Linked DNA regions of Arabidopsis thaliana. The main gene of each other region encodes a partner of the protein of the gene in region 3 in a complex. Each region holds a gene or a part of one and is shown on either strand. Other genes may lie near its edges. The genes, in order: ndhK, ndhJ, NdhM and PnsL4. A codon is read from its position in the direction of its gene.

Region 1 (3,622 bases), on a different chromosome or scaffold from region 3:
TTAGGATCCGTTTCAGTCGTGGATGGCTATCATAAGTGATTCCTAACATATCATAAGATTCCCGTTCTTGAAAATCCGTACTTTTCCAAACCCAGAAAACGGATGGAATTCTAGGATTACTCCTGTGAGTAAATACTTTTATGCAGACTTCTTCCGCTTGATTAACACCATATTCTATTCTCGTAAGATGATACACGCTGGCTAAGAGGCCACCTGGTGCCACATCATAGGCACATTGCGAACGTAAATAATTGTAACCATATACATATAAAATTACAGCAATAGAATGCCAATCTTCGGGCTTTATTTGTAAAGTCTCTATTCCTTGATAATCGAAGCCCAACGATCTATGAACCAGCCCGCGTTTGGCTAGCCAAACGGACAAAGTGCCCTGCATCTTTTTTATTTCCCCCACACCTTTTTTATATAAAATTAAGTATTTCACATTTACCGTTAATTCTAATTTATGAAGATTTTTTTCTGATTCTCTAAAAGCCTCCCTAATTCACTAATTCGTGGGACGATACTGGACTTTTGTATTTAAAAAATGTTTCAGTAGAGATCTCTGAAGTAGATGATGGTGGATAGAGTAGTTCTTGATCATAATTTCCAATATGCGGACTGCGTACAACAAAAAACTTGTGATTGGTAGTAAAACACCGATTACCCTGTTGAGGTCTAATTCGATCCTTATAGATTTCTCTAGCTATTTTCTTACGAAGCTTTGTTATAGCGTCTATAACAGCCTCTGGTTTAGGTGGACAACCCGGCAAATAGACATCTACAGGAATTAGCTTATCAACTCCTCGAACAGTACTATAAGAATCGGTACTGAACATCCCCCCTGTAATTGTACAGGCTCCCATAGCAATAACATACTTCGGTTCAGGCATTTGTTCATATAATCGCACTAAAGAAGGAGCCATTTTCATTGTTACTGTACCTGCTGTTAAAATAAGGTCCGCCTGTCTAGGACTCGATCTTGGTACTAACCCATAACGATCAAAGTCAAATCGGGAGCCTATTAATGAGGCAAATTCAATGAAACAACAACTGGTACCATAAAGAAGCGGCCATAGGCTGGAAAGTCTTGACCAATTTGAAAGATCATTTAACGTAGTTGAAATAACGGAATTTTTTGTTGTTCGATCAAGTATGGGAAACTTAATGGAATTCATAATTGTTTCAATGGTTTTTTTTACTTTTTTTTTTTTTATTATTGTATCAAGTATTCGGTAAACGAACTAAGACCATTCCAATGCTCCTTTTCGCCATGCATAAACTAAACCAAGAATTAGGATAAGCACGAAAATGAAAGCTTCTATAAAAGCAGATACCCCCAGTACATCGAAACTCATTGCCCACGGATACAGAAAAACAGTTTCAACATCAAAAACAACAAAAACTAGAGCAAACATATAATAACGGATTCTAAATTGTAACCAAGCATCCCCGATCGGTTCTATACCTGATTCATAACTAGAAAGTTTCTCCGGCCCCTTCCTAATTGGAGATAAAACTCCGGAAATTAGAAATGCCAAAACAGGAATAGCACTTGATATTAGTAAAAATGCCCAGAAAATATCATATTCGTAAAGCAGAAACATAGACGAACTCCTATGAATGTGGAAAAAATACCCGCTTAGTCAATTCCAATCGGAGTGGATTGGGCAAGGGATATAGAACTCTTGAGTCAAAACAAAAATTCAGGTTAATCGAATCATTTTTTTTCGTTTGGTTGTTGTGGTAGACGTCTCGTTTTAAGATTTATTGATTTCTTATTTTCAGTACACTTATTACTTAATAGTTCCATGTTTCTATTACTAATAGTTTCTAATATAATAATATAATATTAATCTGATTAATAACTAGTAATTTTTTTTATTTCTGTTTATGTTTAAAAAAATTTTTCGAAAAATCTCTTCGTTTTTTAAATGATGACGTATCAAAAAATCCAGTAAGACTTTACCATACTCATCTTACTTAGTATTAGATAGATTGAATTTTGGTTGAATTTAATTAGATTTCTTTTTTTATTTTTAAACAAGGCCGTGTGATAAAAAAAGTAACCAAGATTGAGTGGGGATACAAAAAAAAAAAGAAAGTATTATGAACTTTTTGATTGTAGCTAGTGAACGAGGAAAATTCATATAAAAAAATTACAACTATGAAAATTAATGAAGAAAAAGGTTTATTCTAAATTATAAATTAAGTATCTATCTCGATATATCGATAGATAGTGATTGGCTCCATTGAAATAAAATGAAATTTTCCGTTTTATTCTGAACGATCCCCAGGACTTATGGTTTATGATATGGAAATTTTTTTTATGAACCGAGCAATTAAAAGTAACCTGTTAGAAATAAAGAATACAAAAAAAAGTAAAAAAATTTATCCAATTATTTTGATTTTAATGTGATTTTTTAGAATAAATTTCTTAGTTAGGGCTATACGGACTCGAACCGTAGACCTGCTCGGTAAAAGAGTTCGAACTTATTATTATCAAAATGATTCGAACTCTTTCAAAGACCCAACATGCATTTTTTTTTGCATTGGGCTCTTTCATTAACTGATCGAAAGATCAGTTAGTCTACCATATTTTTTCTTAAAAAAAAGATAAGAAATGGTTCCAAGTACTCTGATTGATTATTTTTGAATTCTAATACAATACAGAAGAACTACCAAAGTGTTTCAAAGAAGGGTTCTCTTGACGTAGGTTTGCTTTTGGTCTAGATCAACTTAAGTTAAATATAGTCTCTAACATCCTGATTAAAAAATCAAACATGAAACTTGATACACCTTAAGGTTCATAGGACGAAAAGATCATTTTTGAGTTCCTTATACTCATTCTACCTAGCATTGAGTAGACTGGGTATTCACCCTATCAATATCTCAAATCAATGATGGGTTCTATTCATTCCCTACCTAACGGGGTACTTTAATAGGACCTAATGTCAGGCTGTTGTTCTCCTCTTTTTTCCTAAAAAAAAGTCATGGAGTAAGACATCGATTTCTTAATAAGATCAATCAATTAGTTTGATTGCGTGATGGACTCCTCTGAAAAACTTTGGCGCACGTGTAAACGAGGTGCTCTACCTAACTGAGCTATAGCCCTTGTGTTTGTGATACACATTTTATCTTATCATGTAGATAATTTCTTGTCAAGATTAATATTACATGATCGAACATTATATCTCTTTGATCTCATTGTTTATTGGTATTGCTTAGAAATAATATTGGATTTATAATCCTATCGATGTGATAGGTATCCCCTTTCCTTCTCTTTACAATGATAAATAACCTACTTAACTCAGTGGTTAGAGTATTGCTTTCATACGGCAGGAGTCATTGGTTCAAATCCAATAGTAGGTATAACTTATTAGACACCATGATCAATGGTGTCTAATAAGTTTTTGTAACCAGCTTTTTTTATTTTATTGTTTTTATCGTCTTTCGATCCTATTTTTTTTATACATTCTTTTTTTTTACACGTCAGCTAGTTACAAAATCAAATCGTATTGAGAGCCTCGACTCGTGTCCGAGCTCGTCTGAGAGCTAGATTAGCCTCAATTGTCTGTCTCTTACCTTCAGCTTTTCTCAAGTTAGCTTCTGCTATTTCAAG
Region 2 (7,427 bases), on a different chromosome or scaffold from region 3:
TAAGGCCTATATTATAGAGTATATAACTTCGATCATAGGGGTCAATTTCTAGTCGCATAGCTTCATAATAATTCTGTAATGCTTCCGCATAATTTCCTTCAGATTGAGCCGACATCCGTTACGGTCGTCATTCGCTTTAACGAACTCTCCGTTTCAGAACCGTATGTGAGATTTTCATCTCATACGGCTCCTCCTTTAGGTGCATAATGAAAATAATATATGTAAAAATGTGATGTCATTATGAACTAAGCGGGGCTAATGTTTTTACAAGAAATCCCTAGCCAACCTTCTTGCAAAAGATCTTTTCTTACTACCAAGTGGGTTCATGCTAGATAAAAATAAAAAAGGAAACTCTAAAAATTTCTTTGTTCTCAACGCCCCTAAGTTTCCAGGAATTAGTCACTTCAACAGTCTTCAATGGTTATACGGGTATCCAAAATACGAACGAGATGGATGTTTATTGTTCCAACCATTTTAATTAGTCCCAATCCCAACGAAGAAGAAGAAAGGGAATCATTTTTAAGAAAGTTTTCGTGTTGTTGATTTCTCGGCGTAGTGCTTCTTCCCCTATGCCTCCTATTCGTATATTGTATTAGTGTAGTAGGATTGATCTGTAATACGGGAACCATAGGTAAAAACCTTTTGCTCAATACTATAATTCACAATTGAAGCATCTAAGGCTGCATTAATCGTGGATACATGACAGAAGGGATTGTTTTTTTTATATTATAAACTTCACCTTCAAAAGCGTAGATTTTTTTTCAATACTCGTTTTTCTTTCTATTCCAATCAAAATCGGCGAGAAAAAAAATAATGATAATCAAATCGCACCATCTCTGTAATAAGTAAATGCCTCTTTTTCTCCGGAAGTTGTCGGAATGACTCGTAATAAGATATCGGCTACAATTGTAAAGGTTTTATCAATAAAATTTCCATTTATACGCGATCTTGGCATAGGTAGTAATCCATTCTCTAACTCTTTTTATTTCCTTTACCTTTTCTTTTGTGAGAAAATTTTCTCACAAACAAAGGAATTGTATAGTACGAACTAACATAAAAGCGGACTCATTAAAAAAAACCTTCTATCTACTTCCAAATTTTCCGGTCAAAAAGGGTATCTATTAACCATAATCTAAAAAACGATGAATAACTCGCTATTCACCCAGATACTCAGTCATAATCTTGATGTCGGAGAGATGGCCGAGTGGTTGAAGGCGTAACATTGGAACTGTTATGTAGACTTTTGTTTACCGAGGGTTCGAATCCCTCTCTTTCCGTACTTTCAACAAATTCACCAATCTTACGTGATTGACCACAATGTATCAAATCCAATAAAAAAGAATCGATATAAGATCTACCTTGTTTTGATTTTGAAATAGATTCTCTATTCCTAATTTCTTTCATATGGAAAATGCTGGGAAGAGCAAACAAGGGATCCCAATCTCCCTACCAATCTATGATACATGAATAGGAAAAATATTCTTTGACAAAATCCCTTACCTTGTGCCTTTTTATTTTTAATGGAAAAGGGGAGTTGTCCGAACTCTTGTTTTTAGTAATTTTTTTTTTTACTTAAGTTAGGTTTATTAAGTCTGTCGAGAGTAATATTCTACGACAAGCAATTCATTTATTTTCAAACCGACGCATTTCCTATCTATTATTTGATTGACTAACCCTTCATATTGGAATGTGTGAAGAGTCAGATGGTTTGGCAATTCCTCAGGGGCAGATGAATCAAGAAGATTTTGAACCAAAGTTCTAGAGTTTTGTTCATCCTTCACTGTAATAATATCTCGGGGTTTGCAGCGATAACTTGGTATATCAACTATACGACCATTAACTAAAATATGTCCATGATTAACTAATTGGCGCGCTTGAGGAATAGTCAAAGCCATACCCAATCGAAAAAGGATGTTATCCAAACGCATTTCAAGTAATTGTAGTAAAACTTGACCTGTTGACCCCTTGGCTTTTCCGGCTATACGCACATATTTAAGTAATTGGTGTTCTGTAAGACCATAATGAAAACGCAATTTTTGTTTTTCTTCTAAACGAATACGATATTGAGATTTTTTTACGGAGCGTGATTGGTTTCTAAGATCGCTTCCTGCCTTAGGCCTTTTACTAGTTAGTCCCGGTAAAGCCCCCAGACGGCGTATTTTTTTAAAACGAGGCCCTCGGTAACGTGACATAAAGACTCCTTTTTTGATTGAAATTGTACAAAACTAAATAAAATTAAAACTGAACTAAATGATAATGATAAATGACGTGAAATACACTCCACTATTGGAATACAAAGAGTAAGAAGATATATTCTCTCAATATACAGATTTTTTTTATTGTATATACAATATATATAAATCAACTAAATCACAAAAATTTTCCTTTATTTTCTTGATTAATTTTGCAAAGATCAAACTCTTTTACCCAATATATATTCCTAATATGGAAGTTTATATGACATAATATAAATGGAGTGGTAACTCTTGGAAAAAGGTCAAAGAAGTCTTTTCAATCTTCTTTGATTTTGAAAGTACATTAAAAATCATGTAAAAAAAAACGAAAAAATATGGAAAAGCCGGCTATCGGAATCGAACCGATGACCATCGCATTACAAATGCGATGCTCTAACCTCTGAGCTAAGCGGGCTCAAATAAAATAGCGCATGCATACAAATTCACTAAACTACTAGATCGTATCAATTAACTATTCTATTAATATTTTTCCTTATCTAGTTAGAATTAATGATATTCTATATATTCTAGAACAGAATATAGCTCACATAAATAGTGACTATCATTCATCATTAAATAAATAAAACATAACCTTAATTCTATATATATATCTATATAGTCATAGAATAGTATAGAATTATTAGAATTTCAAATTTACGAAGTAGACTTATAATTTTTTTCCATTGCACATTGTAGAATTCTAAGTTTCAATAATAATAATAATAAATTTCTTTTCATGAAAGTAAAAAAAAAAAAAAGAATCGACCGTTCGACTATTTCTGAAAATTTAAGCCAAAGATGAAAAAAAAAAGAACATATATATGTTATGTAATATATAACCATATTGAATTGCAAATACAAAAATGATAGAATCTTTGTTGATTAGACTAAATCAATATGGATGGAGCTCAAAAAAATAAAAGAAGATAACAAAGACATAAAATAAGTATCTATAATGTAATGAATCCCGAGGTTTCGGCATAAGAAAAAAAAGGAAAGACATCATAATGAGATCCTAAAAAAGGGGATATGGCGGAATTGGTAGACGCTACGGACTTAATTGGATTGAGCCTTGGTATGGAAACCTACTAAGTGATAACTTTCAAATTCAGAGAAACCCTGGAATTAACAATGGGCAATCCTGAGCCAAATCCTGGTTTACGCGAACAAACCGGAGTTTACAAAGCGCGAAAAAAGGGATAGGTGCAGAGACTCAATGGAAGCTGTTCTAACAAATGGAGTTCACTACCTTGTGTTCATAAAGGAATCCTTCGATCGAAACTTCAAATCAAAAAGGATGAAGGATAAAAACCTATATTGTATAAATTTAGGTAACACAAAACGATCTCAAAAATGACGACCTGAATCTCGATTTCTATTTTTTTATAAACAAAATCAAAATGTTGTGAATCAATTCGAAGTTTAAGAAATAATATTTCTTGATTAAAATAAAATTATTCACTTCATAGTCTGATAGATCCTTGATGGAACTTAATTAATCGGACGAGAATAAAGATAGAGTCCCATTTTACATGTCAATACTGACAACAATGAAATTTATAGTAAGATGAAAATCCGTTGACTTTTAAAATCGTGAGGGTTCAAGTCCCTCTATCCCCAGCTCTACTCCCCGAAAAGGTTGACACCTTACCTTTTTTTCGTTATTATTTATTTGAATTATTTATAATCTATATCATTTTTCATTTTCAAACTTAGAAAGTCTTCTTTTATTTATAAAATCCAAGAAATTCCCGGTCCACAACTTTTTGAATTTACTACTTTTGAGTTTCTTTTCATTGACATAGACCTAAGTCATATATTAAAATGATACTGATACTTCAGTAGATTATACTTCGGTAATGGTACACATAGCTTAATTGCGGGGGACTGAAAATCCTTGTGTCACCATTAGTAAAAGCAAGATGATCCTTCGGTAATGGTCGACATAGCTTAGTTGCAGAGGACTGAAAATCCTTATGTCACCATTAGTAGAGGACTGAAAATCCTTATGTCACCATTAGTAAAAGCAAGATGATACTTCAGTAGATGATACCTCAGTAATGGTCGGCATAGCTTAATTGCGGGGGACTTAAAATCCCTGTGTCACATGATAATGATCCTTCAGTAAAGGTAGACATAGCTTTTTTGCAGAGGACTCGAAATCCTCGTGTCACCATTAGGAAAACGAGCATGATACTTCAGTAGATGATACTTGATACTTCAGTAGACTAATGGTGGACATAGCTTTTTTCCGGGGGACTTGAAATCGTTGTGCCACCATTCGTAAAACGAGGATGATCCTTCGCCGGGATAGCTCAGTTGGTAGAGCAGAGGACTGAAAATCCTCGTGTCACCAGTTCAAATCTGGTTCTTGGCAGAGGATTTATTAATTTTGATAAGTTTTTATTCTTCAAATTAAACGTATCTTTAGTAAAAAAAGTGCAATTATGCTTTATCCCCTCTCTTTTTTTTGTTCATGTTGTGAATCCAGCCGTTCAAAAAGAATGTATAATACTTGATACATAATACATATCCGAAAGGAAAGGTTAAATGAGTTCCGTTGAATCAAACAAGTAAAAAAAGGTCTATATGTATAGTATACTATAGTTGAAGGGCAAAAATACCCCAAGGTTCATTAGATACAATAGAAATAGAATTGTATCCCCCCCTTCATTTATTGCTTTCCGATCTTATTTATTCATTCCCAGTTATGTGACTAAAGTTGACTAAGTTATGTGCGCGATACAAAGTTCATAATGCAGAACTCTTTTTTTTTAGTTCATCCTATTGGCTCATTTTTTATCATTCAATAAGCATCTTGTATTTCATAAAAATTGGGGGCAATATAATCCTTACGTAAAGGCCACCCTATCCAACTCTCGGGCATTAGGATCCGTTTCAGTCGTGGATGGCTATCATAAGTGATTCCTAACATATCATAAGATTCCCGTTCTTGAAAATCCGTACTTTTCCAAACCCAGAAAACGGATGGAATTCTAGGATTACTCCTGTGAGTAAATACTTTTATGCAGACTTCTTCCGCTTGATTAACACCATATTCTATTCTCGTAAGATGATACACGCTGGCTAAGAGGCCACCTGGTGCCACATCATAGGCACATTGCGAACGTAAATAATTGTAACCATATACATATAAAATTACAGCAATAGAATGCCAATCTTCGGGCTTTATTTGTAAAGTCTCTATTCCTTGATAATCGAAGCCCAACGATCTATGAACCAGCCCGCGTTTGGCTAGCCAAACGGACAAAGTGCCCTGCATCTTTTTTATTTCCCCCACACCTTTTTTATATAAAATTAAGTATTTCACATTTACCGTTAATTCTAATTTATGAAGATTTTTTTCTGATTCTCTAAAAGCCTCCCTAATTCACTAATTCGTGGGACGATACTGGACTTTTGTATTTAAAAAATGTTTCAGTAGAGATCTCTGAAGTAGATGATGGTGGATAGAGTAGTTCTTGATCATAATTTCCAATATGCGGACTGCGTACAACAAAAAACTTGTGATTGGTAGTAAAACACCGATTACCCTGTTGAGGTCTAATTCGATCCTTATAGATTTCTCTAGCTATTTTCTTACGAAGCTTTGTTATAGCGTCTATAACAGCCTCTGGTTTAGGTGGACAACCCGGCAAATAGACATCTACAGGAATTAGCTTATCAACTCCTCGAACAGTACTATAAGAATCGGTACTGAACATCCCCCCTGTAATTGTACAGGCTCCCATAGCAATAACATACTTCGGTTCAGGCATTTGTTCATATAATCGCACTAAAGAAGGAGCCATTTTCATTGTTACTGTACCTGCTGTTAAAATAAGGTCCGCCTGTCTAGGACTCGATCTTGGTACTAACCCATAACGATCAAAGTCAAATCGGGAGCCTATTAATGAGGCAAATTCAATGAAACAACAACTGGTACCATAAAGAAGCGGCCATAGGCTGGAAAGTCTTGACCAATTTGAAAGATCATTTAACGTAGTTGAAATAACGGAATTTTTTGTTGTTCGATCAAGTATGGGAAACTTAATGGAATTCATAATTGTTTCAATGGTTTTTTTTACTTTTTTTTTTTTTATTATTGTATCAAGTATTCGGTAAACGAACTAAGACCATTCCAATGCTCCTTTTCGCCATGCATAAACTAAACCAAGAATTAGGATAAGCACGAAAATGAAAGCTTCTATAAAAGCAGATACCCCCAGTACATCGAAACTCATTGCCCACGGATACAGAAAAACAGTTTCAACATCAAAAACAACAAAAACTAGAGCAAACATATAATAACGGATTCTAAATTGTAACCAAGCATCCCCGATCGGTTCTATACCTGATTCATAACTAGAAAGTTTCTCCGGCCCCTTCCTAATTGGAGATAAAACTCCGGAAATTAGAAATGCCAAAACAGGAATAGCACTTGATATTAGTAAAAATGCCCAGAAAATATCATATTCGTAAAGCAGAAACATAGACGAACTCCTATGAATGTGGAAAAAATACCCGCTTAGTCAATTCCAATCGGAGTGGATTGGGCAAGGGATATAGAACTCTTGAGTCAAAACAAAAATTCAGGTTAATCGAATCATTTTTTTTCGTTTGGTTGTTGTGGTAGACGTCTCGTTTTAAGATTTATTGATTTCTTATTTTCAGTACACTTATTACTTAATAGTTCCATGTTTCTATTACTAATAGTTTCTAATATAATAATATAATATTAATCTGATTAATAACTAGTAATTTTTTTTATTTCTGTTTATGTTTAAAAAAATTTTTCGAAAAATCTCTTCGTTTTTTAAATGATGACGTATCAAAAAATCCAGTAAGACTTTACCATACTCATCTTACTTAGTATTAGATAGATTGAATTTTGGTTGAATTTAATTAGATTTCTTTTTTTATTTTTAAACAAGGCCGTGTGATAAAAAAAGTAACCAAGATTGAGTGGGGATACAAAAAAAAAAAGAAAGTATTATGAACTTTTTGATTGTAGCTAGTGAACGAGGAAAATTCATATAAAAAAATTACAACTATGAAAATTAATGAAGAAAAAGGTTTATTCTAAATTATAAATTAAGTATCTATCTCGATATATCGATAGATAGTGATTGGCTCCATTGAAATAAAATGAAATTTTCCGTTTTATTCTGAACGATCCCCAGGACTTATGGT
Region 3 (8,045 bases):
TAATGCTTTAGGGTCCTTAGCTTCGTGGTCATCACCAGGAGAGAATGCTGTAGCTAGGGCAGAGAATCGTTCTTCGGGGTCTGTTATGTTGAGTAAGTACTTTAAAAGTTTGATCTCTTTCGGTGTGATGCTTCTAAGACTGCTCTTTGTAGCTTTGTATAAATGATACATTATGTCTTTAGCCTGTTCAAAAAATACGATATCGATTTGAGAAGATTGTGAAGAATATTAAAGAAGATTGTAATCCAATGGCTATTACCTCGTTCGTAACAGTTTGAGACTCTTTTGCAGCAGCGTATGCACTGTTGATCAATAAGATCAATGAGGAATCAAGCTCCTTTGCCTTGGCTAAACTTCTGATCTTTTCGCAAGCAGAATCCACGGATGGAGAGTTTAAAATATCTTCAAACTTTGCTTGAGCAGTATCTAGAGTCTCAACACTCTCCAACGTGTTGTCATAAGCACTCACAGCAGATAAACATCTAGTTGCAAGCCTCGCAACAGCTGCTCAAAAATAACAAAACAATCATGAAACTGTGGGAATCAATAAGTAAGCAACATGATTAATGTTTTAAGTACCATCTCGGTCTTCCAAGCCATCAAGAGTTTCTGATAACAAAGTAACATAGCGGAAAAACTCTCCCGTAAAGTCTCTGCGTCTCTTGGCAGCGATTGCGTTTATGTCTGTTGGGTTTTCTTGAATCTCCTTCAAAAGGTCATTGTGTTTCTCCATTTCCTTATCTATCTGCAACAATACTCACTCCTATAAGTACACAACAACAACAATAAACTAACCTGAGTTCACTAATAAACACAAAATACAACACTATAAATACCTTCTTGACTTTACTTTCCAAAGATACCAGTTTCTGCTTCAATATAGGATCAGTTTCGGTATCAGCTCGGATTCTGCAACGCTTATAGAAATTAACACTGTACTTGTTCCATTCATCTCTTAAAACCAAATACGTCTTCCATTGTTTAACTTTAGGTTTCTCATTCAAGAAGAGATCAATAATCTTGTCACAAAACTGAGCCATAGTGTAACCTTCAGCAACCTCAACTTCCATTGGATCCTCAACAGAGCTTTTTACTTCCGCACCTAAACACAAAATTTCTATCTTCAATAAAAAAAGCTTCTCTAACTAGACGAATCCTAGTCTATGAAAAGGGTTTAGCTTATCTAATGGTGACAATTAATACAAATTGGAATCTAAAGAAATAGAATTTATTGGTAATTAGACAGAAAGATTAGAGATTTAGGGTTTATGAGCTTACTTGTAGTGCCATTGTAAGTGACAGTGTCGGTAGCAAAGGTGATAGTTGAGCTTTTGCGTATCTTTCTTCCTCCATTGATGAAAGCAGAGAAAGGGAGATGATGGGTTTGAGAATTCTTAGGCGGGAAAGACAGTAATTTATCAGCAGAGGAGAAAAAGATTGATGTTTCCAGTAAATTCGCCATTTTTTCTCCCTCACAAAGTTCGTCTTGGTGACGAACAACGAGAAACACCAGAGGATAAGAAGAACAGGGTTTTAATTGTAAATAATTAGTAAACGTTGACAAATTCAAAAACTTAATATAACTTTTTGGGTAAAAATGTTAAAACTAACAAGTTTTGCATCAGTTTGAAATCTTTTTAAAAAGAGGCAAGGAGTAAGGAACATGAATGAGCAAGACCAGAATTGAGTTTCTTTGACATTACATATTCACATGACCTTAAGACCTTACATTAACAAGAAAAGACAAAGAAACTTAAGATTGATTATTACAAAAATAATTATAGCATATGTCATGATATATACATATGTTACTTTGTGATAGACAAAATTAAAAAGCATACTACAATATATTTATATTCCCATTACATGATTATAAAATAGAGTTTGTTTCACTAAGCGTCCTCTTGAGGCTGACCATCTCCACCACCTTCAATGTTACTGGTATTGAATTGTACACGAGGCTTTCCCATACTGAAATTAAGAACTCTTGCATCCATATTGTATTGTATTTCTCCATCGAACAACATCTTCCTTATGTAATGTTCTACGTCCGATCCTATCAATCTCAATGTGTACTCCGTTAATGGTGCTCCCTGTTCAAAAACAATATTATAAGGTCTTCTTGAAATGAGTCTAACTTTTAGATGAATGTTTCGTTCGTTTATTGTTATCGTTACCTCGTAGTGATCGACGAGTTCTTGGAAATAAGAATAGACCTTGTTACAGCTTTCATCATCCCACACAAATTCTTCAGTAGGATCAAGAATCAAAGTGAGTTTATCCATTTGTGACTGGTCAAACTCACAAGTCTCTGGATCAATATAAGCAGCGTAGATCCTAACGTGACGTGTGACACTGCTTAGCCACTGACCACCAAAATCGCCCATACCCTTGCTCTTCACGTTCAGCTGTTTCTCCACTGGTCTCAATGGTGTTGGCTGCTTCTTCATCTTCTCTGTTGATTGCTCTTCTTTGAGTGTCTCTGTTTCTTGTACTTCAAGAGTACTGTCTTGTTCCGGATTTGTCACCACGAACGCCTTTTGTGTTGTTCTTGGTCGGATTTGAGCAACCATAGAAGGATGTAATAGAGAAAGCTTGGTGCAGGCAGTGTAAGAGAATGCTGCAACCATTTTTCTGTCTAAGAAATGAAAAAAAAAAAACAGAACAAGTTTTGAGATGTTGTCCGGTTACAGAACCATATTCTTGTAAAGAGATTTGATGAGGTTGAGAAATGACCACAGCTTGTGGATGAGCCTCTCCCAACTTCTAGTTTCTTATTTATCCCTTTCTCGTTTTGTTGGTATTTTGTGGTTACTCTTAAGTCACTTGTGAGCTAAAGACAATCTTCTTTAGGGAATTCACTGTTTTGTTGTATGTGTTTTTTTTGTCTAAGTATATTTCTTTTTGATGTATAGAGAGAAAATTTAACAGATCATTATTTTTCGCATAGCGTGAAAATAGAGTTTTACATGTATCATCTATACATTCCATGGGAATTCAAAGCATAACAGAAAACACTTGTGGGGTGAAACAGTTTAGTTCTTGTACTTCATGGTTTCTTTCTCAAACCCAATTGTTGGGAACTGCTTAGCGAATTCCTCGACTTCATGGCGCAGTTTCGCAATCTCGGATTGGATGGTTGAAGAGGATTCCATTGCTGACACGAAATCCTTCAACTTGGTTCCTGGTTTTAGAAACATAACAAATGAGTTCAATCATTGTATATAAGAACGGAAAGCATAGCATCGTGATCAGAGAAGTAAAAACCTTGAGCTTCAGATTTGACTTTGAGAGCTATTGTCACAGCTTTGTCGAAGTATTCAGCTACTTTGGCAAAGTCTTCCTCAACAAAGCCTCTGGAAGTGAGAGCAGGAGTACCTGAAAATAACAATGGCAGAGGATATCAAGAAGAACTCCATTCGAATACCAAAAAGAAAAATGGTTAAATGTGATTTTTACCCATTCTGATTCCACCAGGAACCATGGCAGAAACATCTCCAGGAACAGTGTTTTTGTTGGATGCAATGTGAACAGCTTCCAACACTTTCTCAACTCTAGATCCATCAATTCCCTGCAAACAAAATCGAATAAAAAATGAGTTTTAACTAAGAAATATAAAAGAAGATTATATACAAAAAAAGATCAAGTGACCTTGGGCTTTAGATTCACTAGAACCAGATGGTTGTCAGTTCCACCAGAAACAAGTTCATATCCTCTCTCCATTAGAGTCTGCACGAAACAACAATGTAGAGATATAATCAAAGTAGATACTACGCCATATGTGTTTTTCTTTCCTTCACGGGATTAGTACCTGAGCAAACTTTGCACTGTTACTCAGGACTTGTTCTTGGTATGCTTTGTACTCTGAAGTAGTTGCCTGCATTTTCAAACCATTTGAAGGTTACAGAAACCGCAAATCCAATAAGCAACGTTAGTTCCATTCCGTGCCTCACCGTACCTGTTTCAAAGCAACAGCTAGTCCTGTGATAGTGTGGTTGTGTGGACCACCTTGAAGACCAGGGAAGACAGCTTGGTTGATCTTGTCTTCAAAATCATACAAAACCTTTCAAGACAACAAATGAATGACGTGAAAGATTATACATAAATCTAAAACATTTTGGTTCAAATTTTGCTTCTTTTTCTTTTTTACCTCTTTCCCTTGCTTGTTAATTTCCTTAACACCCTTTCTGAAGAAAATCATGGCTCCACGGGGTCCACGAAGTGACTTGTGAGTTGTGGTGGTTACAACATCAGCATAGTCGAACGGTGAAGGGATTACATTAGCAGCAACCAAACCACTGATGTGTGCCATATCTGCTAGCATTACAGCTTTTTGCTTGTTACAGACCTGGGAAAAGAGTTCGAATCAAAACTCACTACTGATTACAATAATCTGTTCTGTAGTTGGATATGAGACTGAAATTACCTTTCTGATGCGGGCATAGTCATACAATCTAGCATAAGCACTTGCACCAGCAACAATCAATTTTGGCCTGAAAAGAGTAGCACTTTTCTCCATCTGCAAATCAAAATTAAAGACTTATGTATTGTTATGAAGCGGGTTAGTTATAAGTTACTATGATTGCTTAATAGAAGAGTTAAGAACCTGATCGTAGTCGATGTAGCCAGTGCTCTCGTCCAATCTATAGGGCATTGTTTCAAAGAAGATAGACACAGCTGATATCTTCTTGGTGTCAGTCTGATGAGAAATAAGAAGAAAGAAACTGTTATTCATCAGAGTCAGAGAGTTCCGAAATGACATACAAAGTTAACTTGAAGGCACCTGATAACCATGAGAAAGATGACCACCATGAGGAAGATCAAGTGCCATGATTCTTTCATGAGGCTTTAACAATGCAGTGTACACATGGAAGTTGGCAGGAGATCCAGACAAAGGTTGAACATTCACTGTAAGATCCAGTCAAATAAGCCATCAAAGGACTAATCAGATTTCTTGTTTCTCATATACATGAAAGTAGTAATTTACCTCCCCACTTTTCAGGATCTAACCGGAAAGCTTCAAGAGCGCGCTTCTGGCATAAGGTTTCTGCCATGTCTATATACCTACAAAGCAAAAGGTACTTGAGATTTCAATTCTTATTACAGAGATTGGTCAAGCAATCATGTCCTGAAACTAAATGTGTCAGATTGAAAATTCCTGAACATACTCATTTCCTCCATAGTATCTGGCACCAGGATAGCCTTCACTGTATTTGTTAGTCATGACAGACCCAACAGCTTGCATCACCGACACAGATGTGAAGTTCTCAGATGGAATAAGTTCAAGTCCCTATAATAACACAAGCGTTACAAACATCAGCCTAACTTATAATAATCAATCAAGGAACAAGATTTAAGAGATAGTAATCTCAGAGACAAACTAACCTTCCATTGTCTAGCTTTCTCATGCTCAATAATGTCAGCAATCTCAGGATCAACCTCCTCTAAAGGTGCGTTAAGCTGTTTTGGCCACTGAAACGAACGTTTACAAAGACATAAGTTTCATTAGATTCAGTCACACCAAAAATAGAACTCCATACATCAATTTGAAACAGACATAGAACTTCAACAATCAAAACCATTGCTTCAACCACAAGGAAAACTATAAACAAACAAGAGATACAAAAAGGCGCTTAAACTCACAGTGACACGAGATCTTTCCTTCTCATCAACAGCTTCACTGGGCAAAGAAGACTGCAACGGAACAAACAGAAATCAGAAAAAAAAAAAAAAAAAATCGAAAATTTCCAATCCGATTATAAAATTCGGAGATAAAAGGAAGAAACTTTAGGGTTGTTACCATGTAACATGAAGTGGATCGAATAAGAGGACGAATGGGTTTGTCAATTGAAGAAGAAAGCCTTCGAAGAGCCATGGCCATCGCCATTTTTCGCTAAACCTCTCTCTATCTCTGGTTTGTGAAACCCTAGAAACAGATTTGAAACATGAACGAGAGAGAAGAGAGAACAAAAATAACAAAATTGGGTTTATCTTGTTTGAGAGAATTGTGGCCTCTGCTTTTGGCTGAGCTTTTGGTGGTTGCAGCAAATTTTCGAATTTTTTCCCTCTTTTTTTATTTATATTTTCTTCTGATTTTTATTTTATATTTGTTGTTTCTTTGTCGTTATCTCTCAGGTCCCTGTCTACACCAACCTTTGTGAATTGTGATGATTTGGTGACGACGATGATTTGTTTCCCTTTAAGACAGAACCTTTATTGGTTTCTGGTCAGTGCAGTCAACGATAACCGATTCAGTTATCACACATCAATTTAATTTATATAGTTTCCAAACCGGTTAGTTTGGGGGAATAAGATTAACAGAATTATGGTGAATTTACAAAATAAAACCAACAAAACAAAAAACTTAACAGAAAATGTTTATTTAACATTTTAGAATTACCAAGTGCATGGTTATATATATTAAACAAATTATTGATCTAAGAATATTGATATTTGAGAGAGTTTTGAGGATAATAATTCATATGATTTTTCTCTATTAATTGACGAATCTATGGTTATAAACAAGTACAATATTAATACTCAAGATGAGTATAACAACACCGGATTTTAATTATATATGCTTTAATTATATTTAGGATTGAAAATATGACTATGTTAGAAGAACCATGCTGCTTATCGTACGTGGCTTGGTGTATAGAGGTTTCCAGTTCAAGAACCTTATTCAAACCAAGGCCTTTGGAGTGTTCTTCAACATCATGGTATCTTCCAACTTCAATCTGTGAAAGTTTTTAACGAGTTACATAAAATATATAAAATGCCTAAATGGTGCATGCATGTTTGTGAAACATCAAGATCAATTAAAAAAGTTTACCTCTCTGTTATTCGTTTGCTCTTGGTGGAGTGTCATAATCGGAATGTTCAGGCTGGCTTAGTTGCAGCCGAATCTGAGTGTGTGATTCATCATCCGCAACAGCTACTTCACGGTGTGTAAACCCGTTTGTGTTTGCCATATAAGCCTGAAAGTCGAAGCCATATCACTTCGAAGCTCTTACTCCAAAGAAAATGGAGTTTTTGTAAAACATGATTTGTTACCTTCTTGTAGAGCTCCACATTTTCTTGATGAATCCGTTGTACTTTCCTAGATAAATCGAGGTTTTCCTGATGAATAAGATTCCTCTGCACCACGATCAACAAAAATCCCAAAATTAGAATTGTAACTTTTGGTAGGGGATATTTGTGTGTGTCAGTGTGTGTATATATATATCTCATCATAGTGACCTTTTGGCTTAGTTCTTGGATTTCTTGAGTCAACAGTTGTTCCTGTGAATCCGGAAAAGCAATCGTTCTATTGATTTCCGTTGTGTTCTATAGTCAATCTTTTGAGTAATACACTCCAAAGCATATAATAGAAGGTAGAGTATATGTATTTATGTACCTTTCTCATACGAATTCCACGCAAACTTATCTCAATTTGATTCTCAAGACTGTTTAGCTCGTTAACACTTAAACCATTTAGCTGTTCTCCCATCATTTGCCTGCTTCATAGCAAACATACCGCAATCCATAACTACAAGTTTCTTCATTTCCTTTACATGCCTTCTATATTTTGATCAAAGACTAATTCTTAATACAAAATGTTATAAAAGTTCAAGGCGATACCGATGATTTTCTTGCAAAGCATGCAGTTCTTGTCTTAGAACAGCAGCTTCTCTCTGCCAAAACTGTAACACACAACACAAATAACTCATCAAACTTTGAACAGCTCAGTAAACCAAAATCTCATTTCAAAAATCAAACATCATGCTAAAGCATCAATCAATATATAATCACATATCTTTAGAGTTGTCGCTATATCTATATGTATACCTTGACTTCTGATGCGGGGTTCAATAGTTGTTGTTGCTCGATCTTGCTCTTGTTGTATCTATCAATAACCGACTTCATGCTATTCAAAATATTTAATATTAGTATACCTTGTTCATGGTATATAATTCACTCATATCATATCATCTCTTAGAGTAAATTACGTAAAAGATATTAATTTTCGATCGTGAAGTTTTTCCAAGTACTCCATTAAAAAGCTT
Region 4 (7,625 bases), 600 kb from region 3:
GGATATGAATCTGCAAGCTCTTCTTCAAGCTCATATTTCAAACCCTAGAAGCAATGAGCACGATCAGTTTGGTCTTGGTATGATGCAGACTCCATCTACTAATCCTCCTACTACAACGGCAGCGGCTAACGGGAACATAAACACCGGTGATAATGGAAGCTACGGTGGCTCCGATCATGAACATAATAATGACGGTACTTGGTTATCTTCGTCTTCCGACCAGAGAACATAAATATATTTATGTATAGTCCAAGTCCGAAATCAAAGCTAATCTCTTGACATGATTACTCAACAAATTAAACATAGCACATATAGCATGATGAAGTTACTCGTTTATATATTCTATATTTCAGTATAAACCACTTTAAAACTTTTTTCGTGTAGGGTTTGTTAATTATTTAATACTTAATTAATATGCTTGTTATTTGTTAATCTTAGTTTTTTCCATAACTATATGTTGGTAAGTATTAGTTAGTAGATGGATCTCACCATTTGAATCAGATTTTCTTGGTATATTTTCTTATAATTATATAGAACTTTTAAATTTTAATGACAACGATGACTTGCGATATGAAATTTTAATTTTTCAACAATCAATATACAGTACGTGGTTTTGGGATCACTACGGTTAATATTTCTCCTAATTAATATTGGAGTGAATGGTGGCGAAATTTGGGGAATCTTCCACGGCCGCCGGATTGTGGAATATGGTTTTGGGACCATAGTATATAATTATTAATTAATTATAGACTTGTGGTGATTTGAAATTTGATAAATTACTGTTCTCCCATGTGCTTATTCATTTTTGGTGTATCATCTACATTAACGTCAATTTTTATTGACTTGACTCTCATTTTACCATACCAACAGATTTGAAATTTGAAAATTTCCCAAGCAAAAGAAAAACAGGTAATCAATAATGATAATTATACATACATTTTGGTTTTGACCTACTTTTGTCATATGACAATTTATCTTTATAGACACTTTTACTTCTATTATTATAAGTCTCTTTGTTTGTGAATAGGGGCAAATTTCATTTGACCGCCTCCGACAACCATTGACCTTGTCACGGCTCTGAATGTGATGCGTCTACAAAATTCCTAACTTTTTTCAGTCTTCTCATTAACCAATCAATCGTTAGAATATTCAGCTTAATTTATATCTCTTTCTAGTCTCTAGCTTAACAACACTTCAGAATGAAATGTCAGTTCTTTGTAAGCGGGGTTTTCAATAATATCATTTGCTACTGTATAGTATAATAGTAACTCTTAAAAATAATAATTCTTGTTTTTCACAATAAGATTTGATGATGGATTGATGGTCGCAAAACAAATAATGACATTTGATGAAAAATCTTTTGCTTGTTCTTGTGTATACAAAAGTTCAAATGATTTTGATATTTTTTTGTCCACGGACCAGTTACACTTAAGTCACCAATGCACTGTATAACCTATACACATCACTTACATAAACTATCAACAATGTGCATATATGTGTATCTCTATCTAAATGGAATATATAATAATGGGTGATGATGATGGTTTAATATTATGGTGGTGGTTATGGTGGACCATGATATCAAGCTATTGTCGCACTGATGGGTTTTCTATGTATTCAGATGATACTCGGTTTCATAGTTGAGTGATAACTAGGTCTGGCCATTATCTTACTATCCAAATAATTCGATTCGGGTTCTCAATTTTGTGGGCCGATTGGCTCCAAAAGTTTCATTATTATTTTTGTTCTGTTGAAAATAGAAATCCAAAAAAATACGGGTGGGTCCCATAATCATATCCATTGTACCGTTGCACACTCAAAAGACAAAAGATTCAGACCAAAGGCTCTGGCTTCACGCAGATAAGGAAGCAGAGATCGAAACGAAGACTCAAAGAAGAATGGCGATTTCTACTTTAACACTCACACAATCTCTCTATACACGTTCCTTCAGACCAACCATCTTCTTTTCTTCTTCTTCTTCCTCGTCCTTTTCGTGTCTCTGTTCTTCTTCCTCCGATTGCGAGCCGAAACTCTCCGTCAAGAAACGCGTTTTCGGAGTGGGTTTAGGGTTCCTAGCTTCTTCGATTCTCTCTCTAACGCCTCTGGACGCAGACGCCACGAGGATTGACTACTACGCCACTGTAGGAGATCCTCTCTGCGAATACAGCTACGCAAAATCAGGACTTGGATTTTGCGATCTCGATGTTGGATTTGGTGATGAAGCCCCTCGTGGCGTACTCGTCAATGTAATCTCTCCATCTCTCTAATTTCCTCTGTTTAGGGTTTTTGATTCAAAGTTTGAGACTTTGGAGAGTTGGTCACACACACACAGATCCATTACACGGCGAGGTTTGCAGATGGAACGTTGTTTGACAGTAGCTATAAGCGTGCAAGACCACTTACTATGCGAATTGGAGTCGGCAAGGTACAACAAAGAACCATTGTCTCTCTCTCTCTTTGTTAGCTTCCATAGTCTTCAATTGCATTGCTAGCAAAGTTCACACTTGTCTTTGTTGAAGTTAGTTAGTTTCTTATGTTCTTCTTTGTGATTAGGGTGAGCAAAACAACTATATATCTAAACTCTTGATGTCCAAAAATGATCAGGTAATTAGGGGACTAGACCAGGGGATTCTTGGAGGCGAAGGAGTACCTCCTATGCGAGTAGGCAAGTGTACTGTATTTTCCTTTGTTCAATGTCCTTTATTTGGCTGATAACATATTGGTGCGGTTTTATTTTGCAGGCGGAAAGCGTAAACTTCAGATTCCACCTAAGTTAGCTTATGGACCAGAGCCTGCAGGATGCTTTTCTGGTACTTGCACAATTCCTCTGTAACAGTTTCACTTGTATATGTAAGATATGTATCTCGAGTAATAAATCGACTCTTTATGCAGGTGACTGCAACATACCTGGCAATGCAACTTTGCTCTATGATATCAACTTTGTTGAGATCTACCCAGGAAGTAATACAAGATGAAGCCAACTCCAATCCCGTTTGGTAAAGGAACAAACAACTATGTATGTGATGTATATCACCAGGTGATTACTTTTGACAAGCTTCAGATTATAATTTCTGTAACCTAAAACATTGATGATTTCCAACTGAATCCAATGTCTAACCTCCTATTAAAGAACAAGACACATCTTCTCTGTGCAGATCTGTCTTTTTGTTAAGTTATGACCTTGGAAAATCATATACTTGCATAAATGTATAAGCGCGTGTTAGGTTAGATTCAGTCTTGGTAAGTGATGCAGCTTGTGTCACAAAGATGTACAGAGTCTAGAATAAAGTTGTGTGATGTGGTTTTTCATCGGTGTCATATCTCTGTAATTGGTCCCCTCACAACAACTCATGAATCTTAAGGCCAAAAAAAGTGTAAAACTTTGGTTCTTGCCTACTTGAGCATGTTGAAAATACATAAGACAAATCTTCATTTTTCGATTTTCCAGGAAAAACACAGTGCATGAGCTAATTTACAGCGTACCGGAGGTTCTTAAAGGCTGATGTTAGGCCATCCTCAATGGAGGGTTCTAAGATAAATGAGGTTTTTAAAGAAATCATATATATGAAAGTTGGCCAACTCTCTCCATATGGGTGACACATCATCACATAAGAAAATATCATGTGTCATTTAATATTGATTAAATTAAAATTAGCAAAATTAATTGAGAGAAAATAAAAAATCTCATATTGTGTTAAATCCTCCATTAATTCATTTCTTAAATGATTTTTTCAAAATATAAATATAAATAAAATTACTTATTTAAATAAATCAATTACTACTTTTATTTTACTTTTATTATTTTTTATTTTTAAAAATTTTAATGGTCAATGGTCATCACTCTATAATGACTAAATAGTTGTTTATGTTGTAGTTTATTTGTTTGCTACCTAATATTAGTGTAGTTATTTTACCTTGATTTTTTAATTATTATTACGTTATGGTTCATATCTTATCATATGAAATTCTGTATTTTTATTTTTGTATCTTTAGGTAAGTTCGTAACATTGACATTCAATATTTTTAAGTAATAGACTTTTGAGACGTTAAACATACCACAAAATTCAAAACAAATCCATTTGTCTTATACGGCTATATGCAATAGTATAAAATCTAAAAAGTGTTACTAAAATAACTCTTTAATTTTTGCTTCTTTTTTTTCATACGAAAACTCTTGAAATCAAAATATCTTATATTCTTATTGTGTGTATTCATGATAATGAACAAATTTTAGAATTTTGGATATAAAAATAATCAGATTATACATGAAAATATATAAAAATTGATATTTAGAGTCAAAAATGAATCTAACAATAAAAATGTAAGTACATAAGATGAGTCTAATTTTACTAAGTATAAAATAACAAACAAAAAGTAAACATAAATTAGCGACAAAAATAATTAACATATTTTTATCTAAAGAATTTTTAAAACAAACCCACGCGTAGCGTGGGAATTCATCTAGTAATATAAAAATAAAAACATGGAAAGAAGAAGAGAAAAAATGAAGAGGAGCTCTTAGATAAGAGAATGAAGAGAGGTTTTTAATAATCAAGTAAACCACCTAAGCCACATGTCACTTATACATTGGTTCATTTTTTTCTTAAACTTAAAATTTATTTATATAATAATATTATAATAAAATAATCATTGTTATTGTTGTTAAGAGGTTTTTAATAAGAGCTTATTGTTGAGGATGCTCTTACTTTGTTTACACCTGAAGACTGAAGAGCAAGAATCATATCAGTAAAAATTGTTGAATAAGTCCTTTAAAATATAGTATGGTGGGGGTAGTTGTATGTATAGAAAGATTACATGACCCGTGTATGTTATGATACACAGTTTTTTTAAGCTTTATGTGATCGATCTTTACTATCCATTTTTGGATTTTTCTTTTAATAATGTATGTAAAAGAGAAAGAGAGTGGGTGAAAAGAGTTAGAATATTGGGGTCCCAAAAAACTAAACTCAAATTAAAAGACCATGAAACACCTTAACCAAAAACAAACGTCTTTGTTATTGTTTTGTAAGTTTGAAACTAGCATAGAAAAAATTAACTAGTTTCCACTTATATCTTCCAATGATAGTAAACAATGATTACTTACGATATCCAATTGATTAAGCTAATATAATACTAGATCTATATTAATATTAATAAAACATTCACTTGTAACACCAACAAAGAGCACATGCAAAAGAAGACAAAACCATGAACTAAAAGAGAACAAACACCAAAATTTATAACCCACATTTATGCATATATTACCGGCATATATTATATAAATTCCTTTATAAATTATCTAATAAATAAAAAAAAACTACATAATAGAGCAAGCATTAGGATTATCATCACTAAACAAAGAAGTATAAGAAGGGTCATCGTAGTAAACAGCCATCGTCCCGGTGGTGACGTTTGGGTCAACTTTTCTGACGTAACCAGGCGGTGCTTTCTTATCATAAGCCTGAGCTATGTACGGCTGAGCCACCAAGTTGTACGGTACGTACGGCCATATCTCGGCTTTCTTCCCCGTCGCTTTAGCCTTCTTCAGCACCTTGCTCGCATCCGCATAACCACTCACTGTCACCTTCTGTTGCTTCTTGTTTATCTCCACCGTTTTCACTCCTGAAAATATATGAAGGAAGATTTTTCATGTTATATATATGCATGCATGATGATTGATGCATGTATTTATATAAGTTTTAGATAGGAGTAAGCAAACACATCTCATAAGGGACAGTAACACAAATTCGGACGAGAATTTTGATTATAAAAGAAGAAGCTAGTTACCTTTTAGAGAAGAAAGAGAGTTTTTGATTTTGAGGACACAACCATCACAATCCATCCTAACTTTGAGCTCTACTGTTTGAAACTGCTTCTTCTTCTTCCTTTTTCCATAACTATGGCTTCCTCCATTCCCTATTAGCTCTGATATATACTCCAACGTTCCCCCAACTCCCATCTTGTTGATTTTATCTTTGACTTGTGTCTTCTTTTTATCAAGAAAATTCACAGATAAAGGCGATTAGTAATGGGTATAATTCTTTTCACTCTGGCTCTCAATATGTGTTATGTGTTTGTATAGATATTTGTTTTGGTTTCAGTTTGCAATGAGTTGTTAGCTTGGTTGCCTCGACTTATAAAGGCCTTAATTTGATATTTTAATAAAGAATTACTTTTGTGTATATAATTGTATTGGTACGAAAGAAAAAGTATGTTGTTGTGTTTATAATTGACACAAATTTGGCCAACTTTATAAAAAATAGAAAAAGATGTCTTTAAGAACTTAGACCGTAAGCAATATATATGCCAATTGCCAAAGACCTTGTGGTTTAGTTAAGAAGATATTTGATGGGAAAAGTGGAACTAAAGGGATATATACGCTTTAAAACCATACTAAATTCAATCATTTAAAGTATTTTTGTAACCAATTGTTTTTTTGGTTCATATTTGTATCCAATTGTTGAACAAATGTATATATGTTACTATTTTAACTTAGCATATATACGAAGGTAAGCTTTGTAGGGAAAAGGGAATCCATGTGATGTGAATACAACTAAATCATGGAATAATAACTTTAGGTATTTTTATTTAAATCTTGTTGTTCTTCACAAGGAAGACAGAAAGAAGGTGAGAGAGCCATGCATTTATTAACGAATTCATACTAATTTATCTAAAGCATAATTAATAGTCGGTTCATTATTAAATTAATTAGGATCAATGATCAAATTTAGCAAAATTTAAAGGTGATATATAAAAATAGCAAGAACCATCGTGGAGATTTATAAAGTTAATATTTACTCACTACGAGACAGCTTCACACGTATGGGGAAGAGATCTCGAGCGTTCAATTGTATACGTGGCAATATGACGGCGCCGATTGGAATACGCGTGTGAGGCTGTCTCCTTATTGGAGGAGTTGTGCCACCTCCCCTCTCAACTTAGCTAGCTGTTTCATAGTATGTATTACATTCTCTTCACGTATTCATAATTTTACGTAATAATTCAATAGTAGATATACAAAAACTCATATAATTATCTGGAATGAAGCTAGGGAATATTTTCAACTCCTCAAAATTGAATTTGTATGTTTATTATCGTCCAGCAAATACAAATACGTACATGTAATTAAAGTCGTTCTTTTTATCTTGAATATAGGGACAATTTTGTTTCTTTCGTCTATCAATAAACAGAACTTGTCATAAATTCGAATCTTTGCCTTTTTGGTAACTCATACTAATACCAACGGTTAGCTGACATAATAAATTGTAGTTATATGTATCTATGAATATATGAAGGGGACTCCACTCGAATAATTAGTGGCAAGTTAGTTGACAAGAATTTATAAATTTTCTGTTATATATATAAAAATATAGATAAGAATATGAAGGTGACTCCTCACTCGATCGAAATAATTAGTGGTAAGTTAGCTGACAAAATTTTATAATGTTTTGGAGTTGTCGAGCAAACCTTCAACGTTCGGTACATATAATAACAAGTTTATGCACTCTATTTAAAGACTGTCGATAAGAAGTTTCCGGCAGCCGTTAGATATTTATTTAAATGTATTTCCTAACTCCTAATTGTATTTTATATGGCATCATTGGCATGATTCTATACGAGTTTAT

What was found.
Region 1: the proteins of NdhM (region 3) and ndhK are in contact, whole or in part, in a cryo-EM structure (PDB 7WFG), measured with the Arabidopsis thaliana proteins. Residues at the interface, in NP_001031804.1 of Arabidopsis thaliana: Trp89 (codon at 2,366), Ser91 (codon at 2,360), Val93 (codon at 2,354), Thr94 (codon at 2,351), Arg95 (codon at 2,348), Ile104 (codon at 2,321), Asp105 (codon at 2,318), Pro106 (codon at 2,315), Glu107 (codon at 2,312), Asp117 (codon at 2,282), Lys118 (codon at 2,279), Leu119 (codon at 2,276), Thr120 (codon at 2,273), Leu121 (codon at 2,270), Ile122 (codon at 2,267), Leu123 (codon at 2,264), Asp124 (codon at 2,261), Thr126 (codon at 2,255), Val130 (codon at 2,243), Trp131 (codon at 2,240), Glu151 (codon at 2,180), Ala153 (codon at 2,090), Pro154 (codon at 2,087), Leu155 (codon at 2,084), Arg161 (codon at 2,066), Gln181 (codon at 2,006), Tyr182 (codon at 2,003), Asn183 (codon at 2,000), Met184 (codon at 1,997), Asp185 (codon at 1,994); in NP_051063.1 of Arabidopsis thaliana: Ser3 (codon at 1,172), Ile4 (codon at 1,169), Lys5 (codon at 1,166), Phe6 (codon at 1,163), Pro7 (codon at 1,160), Met83 (codon at 932), Pro87 (codon at 920), Val90 (codon at 911), Arg91 (codon at 908), Tyr101 (codon at 878), Val126 (codon at 803), Asp127 (codon at 800), Lys128 (codon at 797), Leu129 (codon at 794), Ile130 (codon at 791), Pro131 (codon at 788), Val132 (codon at 785), Asp133 (codon at 782), Tyr135 (codon at 776), Lys156 (codon at 713), Glu160 (codon at 701), Arg173 (codon at 662), Cys174 (codon at 659), Phe175 (codon at 656), Thr176 (codon at 653), Thr177 (codon at 650), Asn178 (codon at 647), His179 (codon at 644), Lys180 (codon at 641), Val183 (codon at 632).
Region 2: the proteins of NdhM (region 3) and ndhJ are in contact, whole or in part, in a cryo-EM structure (PDB 7WFG), measured with the Arabidopsis thaliana proteins. Residues at the interface, in NP_001031804.1 of Arabidopsis thaliana: Thr156 (codon at 2,081), Glu157 (codon at 2,078), Tyr158 (codon at 2,075), Arg161 (codon at 2,066), Leu162 (codon at 2,063), Ser165 (codon at 2,054), Glu168 (codon at 2,045), His169 (codon at 2,042), Arg172 (codon at 2,033), Ser192 (codon at 1,973), Met193 (codon at 1,970), Gly194 (codon at 1,967); in NP_051062.1 of Arabidopsis thaliana: Pro134 (codon at 5,118), Ser136 (codon at 5,112), Trp137 (codon at 5,109), Ile138 (codon at 5,106), Pro149 (codon at 5,073), Asn150 (codon at 5,070), Phe151 (codon at 5,067), Tyr152 (codon at 5,064), Glu153 (codon at 5,061), Gln155 (codon at 5,055), Ala157 (codon at 5,049).
Region 4: NdhM (region 3) and PnsL4 share a complex: the UniProt entries of both Arabidopsis thaliana proteins name them as parts of the chloroplast NDH complex.

What each region holds. Positions count from the first base shown.
Region 1 is NC_000932.1:48,757-52,378, forward strand, and holds ndhK (NADH dehydrogenase subunit K), read right to left. Parts: upstream 1,179-3,622; coding exon 501-1,178; downstream 1-500. Other genes in the region: ndhJ (NADH dehydrogenase subunit J), read right to left, coding at 1-397; ndhC (NADH dehydrogenase subunit 3), read right to left, coding at 1,245-1,607; atpE (ATP synthase CF1 epsilon subunit), read right to left, coding at 3,509-3,622. UniProt on the Arabidopsis thaliana protein: NDH shuttles electrons from NAD(P)H:plastoquinone, via FMN and iron-sulfur (Fe-S) centers, to quinones in the photosynthetic chain and possibly in a chloroplast respiratory chain.
Region 2 is NC_000932.1:43,637-51,063, forward strand, and holds ndhJ (NADH dehydrogenase subunit J), read right to left. Parts: upstream 5,518-7,427; coding exon 5,041-5,517; downstream 1-5,040. Other genes in the region: photosystem I assembly protein Ycf3, read right to left, coding at 1-115, 830-955; rps4 (ribosomal protein S4), read right to left, coding at 1,587-2,192; ndhK (NADH dehydrogenase subunit K), read right to left, coding at 5,621-6,298; ndhC (NADH dehydrogenase subunit 3), read right to left, coding at 6,365-6,727. UniProt on the Arabidopsis thaliana protein: NDH shuttles electrons from NAD(P)H:plastoquinone, via FMN and iron-sulfur (Fe-S) centers, to quinones in the photosynthetic chain and possibly in a chloroplast respiratory chain.
Region 3 is NC_003075.7:17,828,856-17,836,900, forward strand, and holds NdhM (subunit NDH-M of NAD(P)H:plastoquinone dehydrogenase complex), read right to left. Parts: upstream 2,765-8,045; 5' UTR 2,631-2,764; coding exon 2,178-2,630; intron 2,094-2,177; coding exon 1,893-2,093; 3' UTR 1,678-1,892; downstream 1-1,677. Other genes in the region: AT4G37920 (endoribonuclease E-like protein), read right to left, coding at 1-183, 260-504, 580-745, 837-1,102, 1,279-1,462; SHM1 (serine transhydroxymethyltransferase 1), read right to left, coding at 3,036-3,184, 3,268-3,378, 3,460-3,571, 3,652-3,729, 3,812-3,877, 3,959-4,063, 4,151-4,348, 4,427-4,519 and 7 more; AGL21 (AGAMOUS-like 21), read right to left, coding at 6,840-6,977, 7,054-7,137, 7,240-7,281, 7,397-7,496, 7,621-7,682, 7,828-7,906. UniProt on the Arabidopsis thaliana protein: NDH shuttles electrons from NAD(P)H:plastoquinone, via FMN and iron-sulfur (Fe-S) centers, to quinones in the photosynthetic chain and possibly in a chloroplast respiratory chain.
Region 4 is NC_003075.7:18,422,599-18,430,223, reverse strand, and holds PnsL4 (FK506-binding protein 16-2), read left to right. Parts: upstream 1-1,645; 5' UTR 1,646-1,898; coding exon 1,899-2,246; intron 2,247-2,332; coding exon 2,333-2,425; intron 2,426-2,604; coding exon 2,605-2,665; intron 2,666-2,741; coding exon 2,742-2,810; intron 2,811-2,892; coding exon 2,893-2,975; 3' UTR 2,976-3,467; downstream 3,468-7,625. Other genes in the region: AT4G39720 (VQ motif-containing protein), read left to right, coding at 1-194, 871-909, 1,028-1,044; AT4G39700 (Heavy metal transport/detoxification superfamily protein), read right to left, coding at 5,318-5,622, 5,788-5,959. UniProt on the Arabidopsis thaliana protein: NDH shuttles electrons from NAD(P)H:plastoquinone, via FMN and iron-sulfur (Fe-S) centers, to quinones in the photosynthetic chain and possibly in a chloroplast respiratory chain.